Linked DNA regions of Sus scrofa. The protein of the gene in region 1 interacts with the protein of each later gene in a biochemical or structural test. Links are inferred from orthologs where the notes say so. Each region holds a gene or a part of one and is shown on either strand. Other genes may lie near its edges.

What was found.
Region 2: the proteins of SH3RF1 (region 1) and AKT2 form a complex in vitro, tested with the Homo sapiens proteins (2 studies listed by BioGRID and IntAct, with this or other methods). The link is inferred for Sus scrofa from reciprocal best matches to the Homo sapiens genes SH3RF1 and AKT2.

Annotation. Positions count from the first base shown.
Region 1 is NC_010456.5:20,419,115-20,423,550, forward strand, and holds the start of SH3RF1 (E3 ubiquitin-protein ligase SH3RF1), read left to right. Parts: upstream 1-1,503; 5' UTR 1,504-1,636; intron 1,637-3,049; 5' UTR 3,050-3,144; coding exon 3,145-3,537; intron 3,538-4,436. UniProt on the Homo sapiens protein: Has E3 ubiquitin-protein ligase activity. In the absence of an external substrate, it can catalyze self-ubiquitination. Stimulates ubiquitination of potassium channel KCNJ1, enhancing it's dynamin-dependent and clathrin-independent endocytosis.
Region 2 is NC_010448.4:48,603,311-48,607,858, forward strand, and holds the start of AKT2 (RAC-beta serine/threonine-protein kinase), read right to left. Parts: upstream 2,880-4,548; 5' UTR 2,703-2,879; intron 1-2,702. UniProt on the Homo sapiens protein: Serine/threonine kinase closely related to AKT1 and AKT3. All 3 enzymes, AKT1, AKT2 and AKT3, are collectively known as AKT kinase.

The DNA.
Region 1 (4,436 bases):
ACAACGCCTCCCCCCAAAAAAAACCAGTGGCCAAATAACAAAGTAAAATGTCATTTTCCTTTGGTCTCCAGAGTCTTTACCTCATTGAGTGTCACTCTTCCCTGGGGAGGACACACACAGTGTGTTCAGGTTTGCCTGAGGTGACCTGAGAAAGAGGAGCTTGGGGTGGTGGGAAAAAAGCTGAACTTGGGATCCAGGTATACAATTGCATCTTGGTCCAGCCTGATTGATTTTGTGACCTGGGGATAAAGTGATCCTATTTGAGTTTTGGTGTTAATAACTGTAAATGACACATAATAATATTTATCTGTTTAATGCCTGTAACCTTCTAATAAACCTCCCCTCCATCCACCTGCTGGCGGAAACTAGAGGTGTGTGGGCTAAGACATCACTTTCTAAGGGCCTTGTTTGTAGATTATGGGTTAAAAATGCTCTGTTCTGCTCATTGCTCCCCTTGTGTTTCTCAGCTCAAATGTACGTGTTCTAATGGAGGGGACGTGGGATGTCCTTTCTGGCATTGAGTACTGGCTGTGAGCATATTCATCCAGGAGAGCAAAGCCGGGGAGGGACGCATATGGGGGTGCAGTGAGAGCTGGGCTACTCCACCTGGCTAGCAGGTGACTGCAGACAGTGAGGGAGCCATCACTGTACCTGTCACAGCCTTTCCTTTCTCAGGGGATTCTCATTTGTCTTGAATGCTTTGGCTGTGGGCCTGGCTGGAGACCCAGAAGATCACTGACTCCCTTCAAGGTGTCAGGTGCATTGGTGGCCTGGCAGCAGCTCCTTTAAACGGGTCTCTGTCACCCTTTCTCCTTATTTTCTGCATACGTTAGAGGACGGGTATGTGGGATAACTTTTTGTTAAGCTGATGGTAAATGCAAATAAAATGACAATTTTGAGATCAATGACAAAATTTGAGCCCGTTTGCCCTTTAAACTGAGCCTGAGAAACGATCGCCCAAATCTGTGGACGTGTTTTTTCGAAGGACCTTTCGTTTACAGGTGTGTGCCCAGCTTTACAGGTGTGTGCCCTCCCCCCCCGCCCACCGCCCTGCCCCGGAGGCCGTGGGGCCGGTTCGGGCCGGCCGGGCTGGGGAAGGGCCGCGCGGTGCCCGGAGCCAGGCTGACCCCCGGGTCCGGGGCGGGCCTCCCACCGACCCCGCCTTCCGGGTTCTGGGCCGACCCCCCGGACTCACGCTTTGGTCTGTGGCCGGGGTCGGGGCGGAGCCCGCTCCGCCTCTGCGGACCCCGCGCGGCCACCGCGTCCCCCTCTCGGCAGCTCTCGCAGCCTCGGCGGCGGCCGCCCCTCCCCTCCTCCTGGGACCTCTTCCCGGGCCGGCGAAGCCCAGACGCGGGAGGCTGGCGGGAGGCCTCCCCTGCTCCTCCTCCTCCCTCTCCGCCCTCCTCCCTCCGCCCCCTCCCATCCCCCTGCTCCTCCCCCTCCCATCCCCCTGCTCCTCCCCCTCCCATCCCCCTGCTCCGCCCCCTCCCCGTCCCTCCCCTCCTCCTCCCCCGGCCCGGCAGGCGGCGGCGGCGGGAGCGCGCGGTTGGCGAGCAGAGCCCCGAGCGGCCGCGGCGTCTGAGGCCGGCGAGCGGGAGAGCGCAGGGCGTGCGGACAAAGAGGGCGCCGCGCGGAGGTAGGACCCCGCCCCCGACCCTCGGCCCCTAGCCCCGCGCCCCCGGCCCGGGCTGGAGCGGGGCGGCCCGCCCCGGGTCCCTGCGGCGGCGCGCGCCCCGGGTGCCCGGCGGACGGACCTGGCGACGCTGGGCTGCGGGCTTTTCCAAGCCCCCGAAACTTCCCGCGGGCTTGGGCTCCTGTCCGGCCGGGCCCGGGGGCGGAGGCCAGGCGGCGGATGTCCCCACCCGGCCCGGCCCTGCCCTCCCCTCCCTTCCGCTGGCCCCAGCGCGGGGTCTACGGGGGCGGCCCCTGCACCAGCCCCGGGGCGCGTCTACGCCGGTAGTTCCCGGCACCTGGCCCCAGGCTGTCTATGCGGGCGACCACTGCACCATCCCTGGGGCGCGTCTACACGGGTGGTTCCCAGCACCTGGCCCCGGGGTGTCTATCCAGGCGGACACAGCACCAGCCCCAGGGTGTTTATACGGGCGGCCTCTGGCACCTGGCCCCGCGGTGTCTACGAGGCCCGCCTCCAGCACCTGGCCTCGGGCGCGTCTACGCCGGCCGCCCAGCACCTGGCCCGTCGTCCATAAGAGGCCCCCACCCCGGCCCGGCGTCCACGCGGGTCCGCAGTACCTGCGGCGAGCATAGGGGCGGCCTGGCCCCCGCCCAACCGTCAGGAGTGGCCGTTCCTGCTGTCGGCCACCCGGTTCTCCTGGGCATGTCTACATATAACCGGGGGTGGAGAGAGCAGTGCAGGGTCTGGTTTAAAGGCTTTTTCCTGAATGGCCCCATTTTCTTATTATGCTCACGATTCCCAGTACAGCATTCCATTCTCAAATTCTTTGGGTGATAATTTTGCCAGGTTTTCTGAATGGGATTAGCACAGGCTGTTCAGAAATGGTTTCAGAGTTTGTCAACCGCTGCCCGTTTCAAGGCCAGACTTAAGTGCGTCCTTTAGAATTGTCAACCTTCATCTTGTTTTGGTTGGGCAAGATTTAAGTCTTAGGACCAGTGAAGAAACATATGTATTTAATATTGGGATCACTTGCCAAAAGCGAATCACACCAGAGTGGTTTCTTAATCACTAAAGTGGCTTAAATATTGGGCACCTGGTTGGATTTGAAAGGAATTTCAGTTAAAGGCTCACTTTCTCATGCCATTGGAGGACTTTATACAGGCAGCAGATAGCATGTTGAGAACAGAGGAAATTGTTACTGCATTTCATAGATCCTGTTTGCTGTAGGGATGCTCAATGGGGTTTGATAGCCATTTCTGCACAGGAACCTAGATATCTTTACAGGTTAATTTTGAATTGCTTAGAAAGCCTATTCTGTGTTGAACTGCTGACTTTGGAGTACACTTTTGGTTCCTGGCTCTTCTGTGATGATCATAGGACTTTCTGTCTTCTCTTCTTGGGCTGTGACGACTCCAGAGCAGCGTCTGACATGGATGTTACATGAATCGCTCTCAGGGATGCACATGACTGTGCGCGCTGCTGGAGCCGTTTCCTCGTTGAATTAGGTGAAGATGGATGAGTCCGCTCTGCTGGATCTTCTGGAGTGTCCCGTGTGTCTGGAGCGGCTCGATGCTTCCGCCAAGGTCTTGCCCTGCCAGCACACGTTTTGCAAACGCTGTTTGCTGGGCATTGTGGGTTCCCGAAACGAGCTCCGATGCCCTGAGTGCAGGACCCTGGTTGGCTCAGGCGTGGAACAGCTCCCCAGCAACATCCTGCTGGTCAGACTTCTGGACGGCATCAAGCAGAGGCCTTGGAAACCTGGCCCGGCCGGGGGCAGTGGCACCAGCTGCCCAAATGCAGCGAGGGCTCAGGGCAGCGCTGGGGCCAATTGCAGCTCGAAAGACATCCAGGGCTCCCAGGGGGCACAGCAGCCAAGGGCGCAAGCCTGGAGCCCCCCAGTGAGGGTGAGTAGACCGCGACCTGGTGTGGCGGTGGCGGTGCTGATGGTCATCCTTATTCTTTGTTCTTTAACTGCATGTTTTCTGAATCAGCTCATGGCTAAAGAAGTCACACTTACTGGAACAGGTAGGAAATAATGCCTCAGGAATTTTTTTTTTTTCGTTTTGGAATGAGCTTGGATTGAAATTGGATACATTTTCTTGTTTTTAAAATTCTATCGTGGTGGTTGGTTTCTATTACCTGTTAAGTTAAATTTTGGGAGACAATGGCAATTATTCAATGAAATCTAAAACACAGCTGTTTTTTATGCTGATTTTAAAATGAAGATTTGGTGTGGTTTTACCTTTTTGATGGAGATGGGAGAGCCATGATTGTATGTGTGTGTGTATAGCTATGTATACATGTTATAAATATATGGGTGCATAAATCCTAAGGAGGAACTTGAGCTTTAATTTTTACGTTGCTTGGAGCCATTCTGTTGGTTTTATGAATGCACAGCACAGAATTTTCTGGTTGGAGGAATTCTTAACAAATCATGGCCACAGGTAGCAGAGTTTTGTTGCTGTAGCAACAAAATGTCATTGAGAGCTGAGCTAAGACAGCAGAGAATCCAGCTTTTTATGTTGGGTTTATAGGGAGTGAAATGAATTGTTCTCATCAAAAAGCTTTTTCTTGGGTTTTGGGTTTTGGGTTTGGGCTGAAATCATTTTAAGTGAGGCTAATATCTGGACAGTTACCACAACTTCAGTTTCTGGAAGGTAAGGTATTTTGTGTCAGTCTCAATTATGCTGCGGGGAATGGCACCCCACTTGTTTTTGTCAACAGAAAACATTGTTATGGACATTAGATAAAGCAGTTCCAATTTTGTTGTAAGAAACTATTTTGACCATTGGCCAAACTTATA
Region 2 (4,548 bases), on another chromosome or scaffold:
CAACGCAAGAGACCCCATTCCAGATTGGGATGTTGTGAACAAAAAATTTCTTCAGACCCCAGCCTGGCCCTCTAGCATCAGAGAGACCTAGGACAAAGCCACTTCTCCTCTGAACCCCAATTCCCCCCCCTTTTTTTTTTAATTTTTAAGGCCACAGCATAATATATGGAATTTCCCAGGCTAGGGGTTGAATTGGAGCTGTAGCTGCCGGCCTACGCCACAGCCACGCAGGATCCAAGCCACATCTGTGACCTACACCACAGTTCATGGTAACTCACTGGGCAAGGCCAGGGATCAAACCCGCGTCCTCATGGATACCACTGAGCCACAGGAACCCCAAAATGGGTACACACTTCTACCTAGCTCACGGAGTCTGTAAAGTGGGCATAACCATACCTACCCTATGGGTGTGTTTTGAGATTTAAATGAGGTCATGTGTATAAAAGGTCTGTCATATGCCTGACATACGGGAAATGTCGAATAAAATTCACACAGCTCTAGGAGCTCCCTTGTGGCACAGTAGGTTAATGATCCAGTGCTGTCACTGCTTGGGTCACTGCTGTGGCACTGGTTCAATCCCTGGCTCGGGAACTTCCACATGCCATAGGTGCAGCCAAAAAAAAAAAAAAAAAAAAAAATCACCAGCTCTGGAAATGATTTGCCATTCTGTGCCTCAGTCACCCCTTCTAAAATGGAGATCATGACAACAGTATCCAAAGCTCTAGGATGTTAGCATTCAGCAAGTTAATCCATGTGAGGCATTCTGAATAGCATGTGGAACACAGAATGCACTCAATAAAGATCAGCCATTGATCTCATGATTACTGCTTTTACTGCTGCTGTTAACCCCATCAGGCAAACCCTCTAAAAGGCAGCAGAAACAAGGAACAAATCCCTAGAGTAGAAACATTCTACAGAGCTACCATGGCCTCAGAGACTCAGGGACCCTTCTCTCCAGCAACAACCCATGGAAGCCAGTTGGCTTGGAAGCCAATGGTGTGGACCAGAGGGACTGTCTGCCTCCTTTGACCGCATCACCAGCCCACACTAGCTGGGTCAATCAGGGACTGTGGCCAGCCCTCTGGGAACTCCAGACCCAGGGCAAAGGTGACAGAGCAAGCCAAGGTCACAAGTTCACCAGGGGAGCAGGGGTAGCGGCCTCACGACTGGGCCTAGCTGCTCAGCTCCCCCCAACAACCACAGCGAGAAACTAGATCCATAGGGGATTTGGCTGCCCCCAGTCCTTCAGAGCAGCCTTCCTCTCTGGGTTGGTGTGGGCCAGGGGCACTCCCGCCCAAGTCCGCCTGGCCTCTGCGGAGGGGAACAGCTGGGAAAACAGCACTCAGCCTCACTGCCGCCTAATGGTGAAGCCAACTGTTATCGCCTGGTGGGGAGCGTAAACATGATGGGCGGCTGGACTGCTGACCAAGGAGACACAAACATGTGTGTGTGGCCTTATGGCCAGAATGGAGGGGCCTGGGTAGTGCCTGGACCCTTGGCATCCACCACCAACCACTATTAGTGCAAGGCTCGCAATGCTTCTCTGAGAGGGGAAGAGTAAACAAAGTTGAAAGGCAGACCAAAGACGACCTAATTAAGCCCAGGGCTCTTGCTGAGCCCAGTGGCTCCCAAATGAGAGGCAAGGGGTCCCCAGAATCCCAAGGATAAAGATGTCCCCAGCCACCCTACCCTCGGGGAGCAGTGTCCCTCAAAAACTCCTTCCTCTCGAGTCTTAAGCAGGCCCAGGGGCACAAAACCTCAAATCTAAGCTCGATATCGTCTCCCCTCCCTAATATGGAGCCAAAAGCTCAGAAAAACTTAAGTGGCTTCTAAGATAACTCCCCTCCTCCTTCCCCGCCAAAACCACGGGAAGAATTTGCCACAGAGGTGTCCCACACACCTTAAAATAAGGTTTAATATCATGAAAAGGTTCTAGAGTAGACAGCAGTCCCACTGACCATCCAATTCTCCCCAAAGTCAGTAAGAAGTTCAATAAAGGGTGATCCTCCCTTCTCCGGCTCAGTGTAAACCCCCAGGCTCCACCCAACAAACACAGGAGGCAGAACCCCCTCCTCATCACCCAGCATCACAGCGCTCCCCAAGTACTGCCGCGGTCCCCCCGCCCCGCGTGGTCCCTCAAGATTAACATCACAACCCTCCTTTGATACAGCTCAGCTCTACGTTCTAAGGATGGCTCCCCCCGGGACCTCAGTGGTACAACCCAGAGGGCGCTCCCCGAGCCACACTTGATAGCGCTCCCTCCCCAGAAGCCCCCACCTCTCTAAACACGCTCTAGGAGCTGTTCCCACAGCCCCGAATAGGTCCAGCCCCCTACGCTACGCGCCCCCTCACAGGCTTAGCTCTCGCACGCCGGGCGCGCTCTCCCCGCTAACCCCACTGACTCAACCCACAGCCCGGACACGTTGGGGTCTGCGCCCCCAGCCCTTCCGTGGTTCCGTCGCCGCACTTTGATATGCGCCGCCTGCCGCTTCGGTGGTACAGCTCTCCGCCCCCGCCCCCTCAGGGCTAGTCCAGCCGCCCCCGCGCAGCCACCCCCACTCAGTCCCGGAAGGGGGGGGCTTAAGGACCACGGTTCCCGCCCGGAGAGTACCGGTGGTTCGGCCCAGCGCGGCTTTCCGGGGGGTCGGGACGCGACCAACGCGGGGCAGGGAGCGCTCGGGGACACGCGCTGGCGCACTCACCTGTCACCGGCGGCCGCCCAGCCCCTCTGGCGGGGTTCTACTCCTGCCCATCGCCACGCTGCGCTTGATCCCTCTCCCTGTATTTCCTGGCGGCGGCAGCGGCAACAGCAACGCCTTCGCGGAGCCAGGCCCAACGGCTCGCGCGGCGCGGCCCCCCCGCCCCCTCCCCCAGCCCCCGCTTACCGCCCCCTCCCACCCTTTGGACGGAAATACCGCCTTCTCCCGCCACAAACAGGAACTGACGTAAGAGAAGGCGAGAGGGACTCGGGGAGCGCAAGAACGCAAGCGCAGGGCAGGGGCTGTGGCGGATTCAGAGCCGGGCGCCTGCGTACTTTAGGCAAGTTTGAGGCGGTGTGGTTAAGGGATGTGCCTCGCGCGTGCGCCAGACGGAAAGGCGAGCTAGAATTTGCGCATGCTCAATAGGACTTTGACGCCTGCTTTCCCTGGAGGCTACAGCTGTGATATTTCCCGGCAGCCCCTGGTCCTTAATTACATAGGCTTTGATCTCTTTTTACTCTGCTCTCGCTTCTGGTCCCGGTTCCGAGCCGGGGAGCGGGCGTTAGAAAGGGATTCCTTTTCTGTATAGCCTCTCATGGTTGAGCACAGATTCTGAAGTCACAGAAACCCAGCTTTGTATTTCCTTGCCGGTGACTGTGACCATTTTCTGTGCCTCAGTAACCACATCTGCAAAATGGAAATAATCATAGCCCTGTCTCTGGGCTATGGGGCTATTTTATGTAAACAGAATGATTTATATCAATTAGACATGCTATGACTCCAGAATATTAAGATCCTATTTGCACGACATATGTACGCAATTAAATATGGGATATAACTTTTTTACAGGGTAACTTGGGCTTACCAAGGCCTTAAAATCGCCTTGTAAAAAAAACTTTGCACAGATGCTGGCCCGTTTATTAGTATACCGGGGAAGCTGTTAAAACATCTGGCTCCCTCTCATAGGTTGGGTGGGGCTTCCTACCTTCTGAATTTGCGTTCCAGTAATACTACGCAGCTTGGCAAGTATGCATTGGTTAGTGTATACTTCTAGAAGGCCTGGCTGGGAGTTGAAGAATCCTGGGTCTACCTAAGTCTGTGAGAGTGTCTCAGGCAAGTTCTGCTCAGTGGAGGTAGTTTCCCCGGAGGTAGTTTCTCCAAAGGTAGACCTGGTGCTGGAACTAGTCCTTGGATCCATGCTGGGTCTCCATCTTGGAACTCTGCATAACTTACCCTTATGTAAGAGGCACTCTGATATTTCTTTTTTTTTTTTTTTTTTTCTTTCAGTGTTGTTTGAGACCCTGCTGAACTGATTTTCTGACCTACTAATGGGTCATGCAGTTTGAGAAATACTAGTCTGGGGGCGAACAACACTCATTGGTTTGGTTTTGGTTGTGGGTTTGTTTGGGAGGGGTTGTTTTTTGTTTGTTTTTGTCTTTTTAAGGCTGCACCCGTGTCATAGGGAGGTCCTCAGGCAGCCACAGCAACACGGGATCCAAGCCAGGTCTGCGACCTACAACGCAGCTCACAGCAACGCTGTATCCTTAACCCACTGATCGAAGCCAGGGATCGAACCTGAGTCCTTATGGATCCTAGTTGGGTTCGTTAAGCCAATGAGGGGAACTCTTTTTTTTTTTTTTTTTTTTGGTATCATTTTGGTTTTCTTTTTTGGCTGCAGTAAGTGACCAGAGCTACTGAAATGACAACACCCGCTCCCTAACCTGTTGAGACACACTGGAACTTCCAACACTCACTGACTTTGGAAATAGATTAGGCTTAGTTTTTTGGGGTTTTGTTTTGTTTGGCCGCACCTACAGCAACCCAAGCTGCTGCCGTGACAATGCTGGAT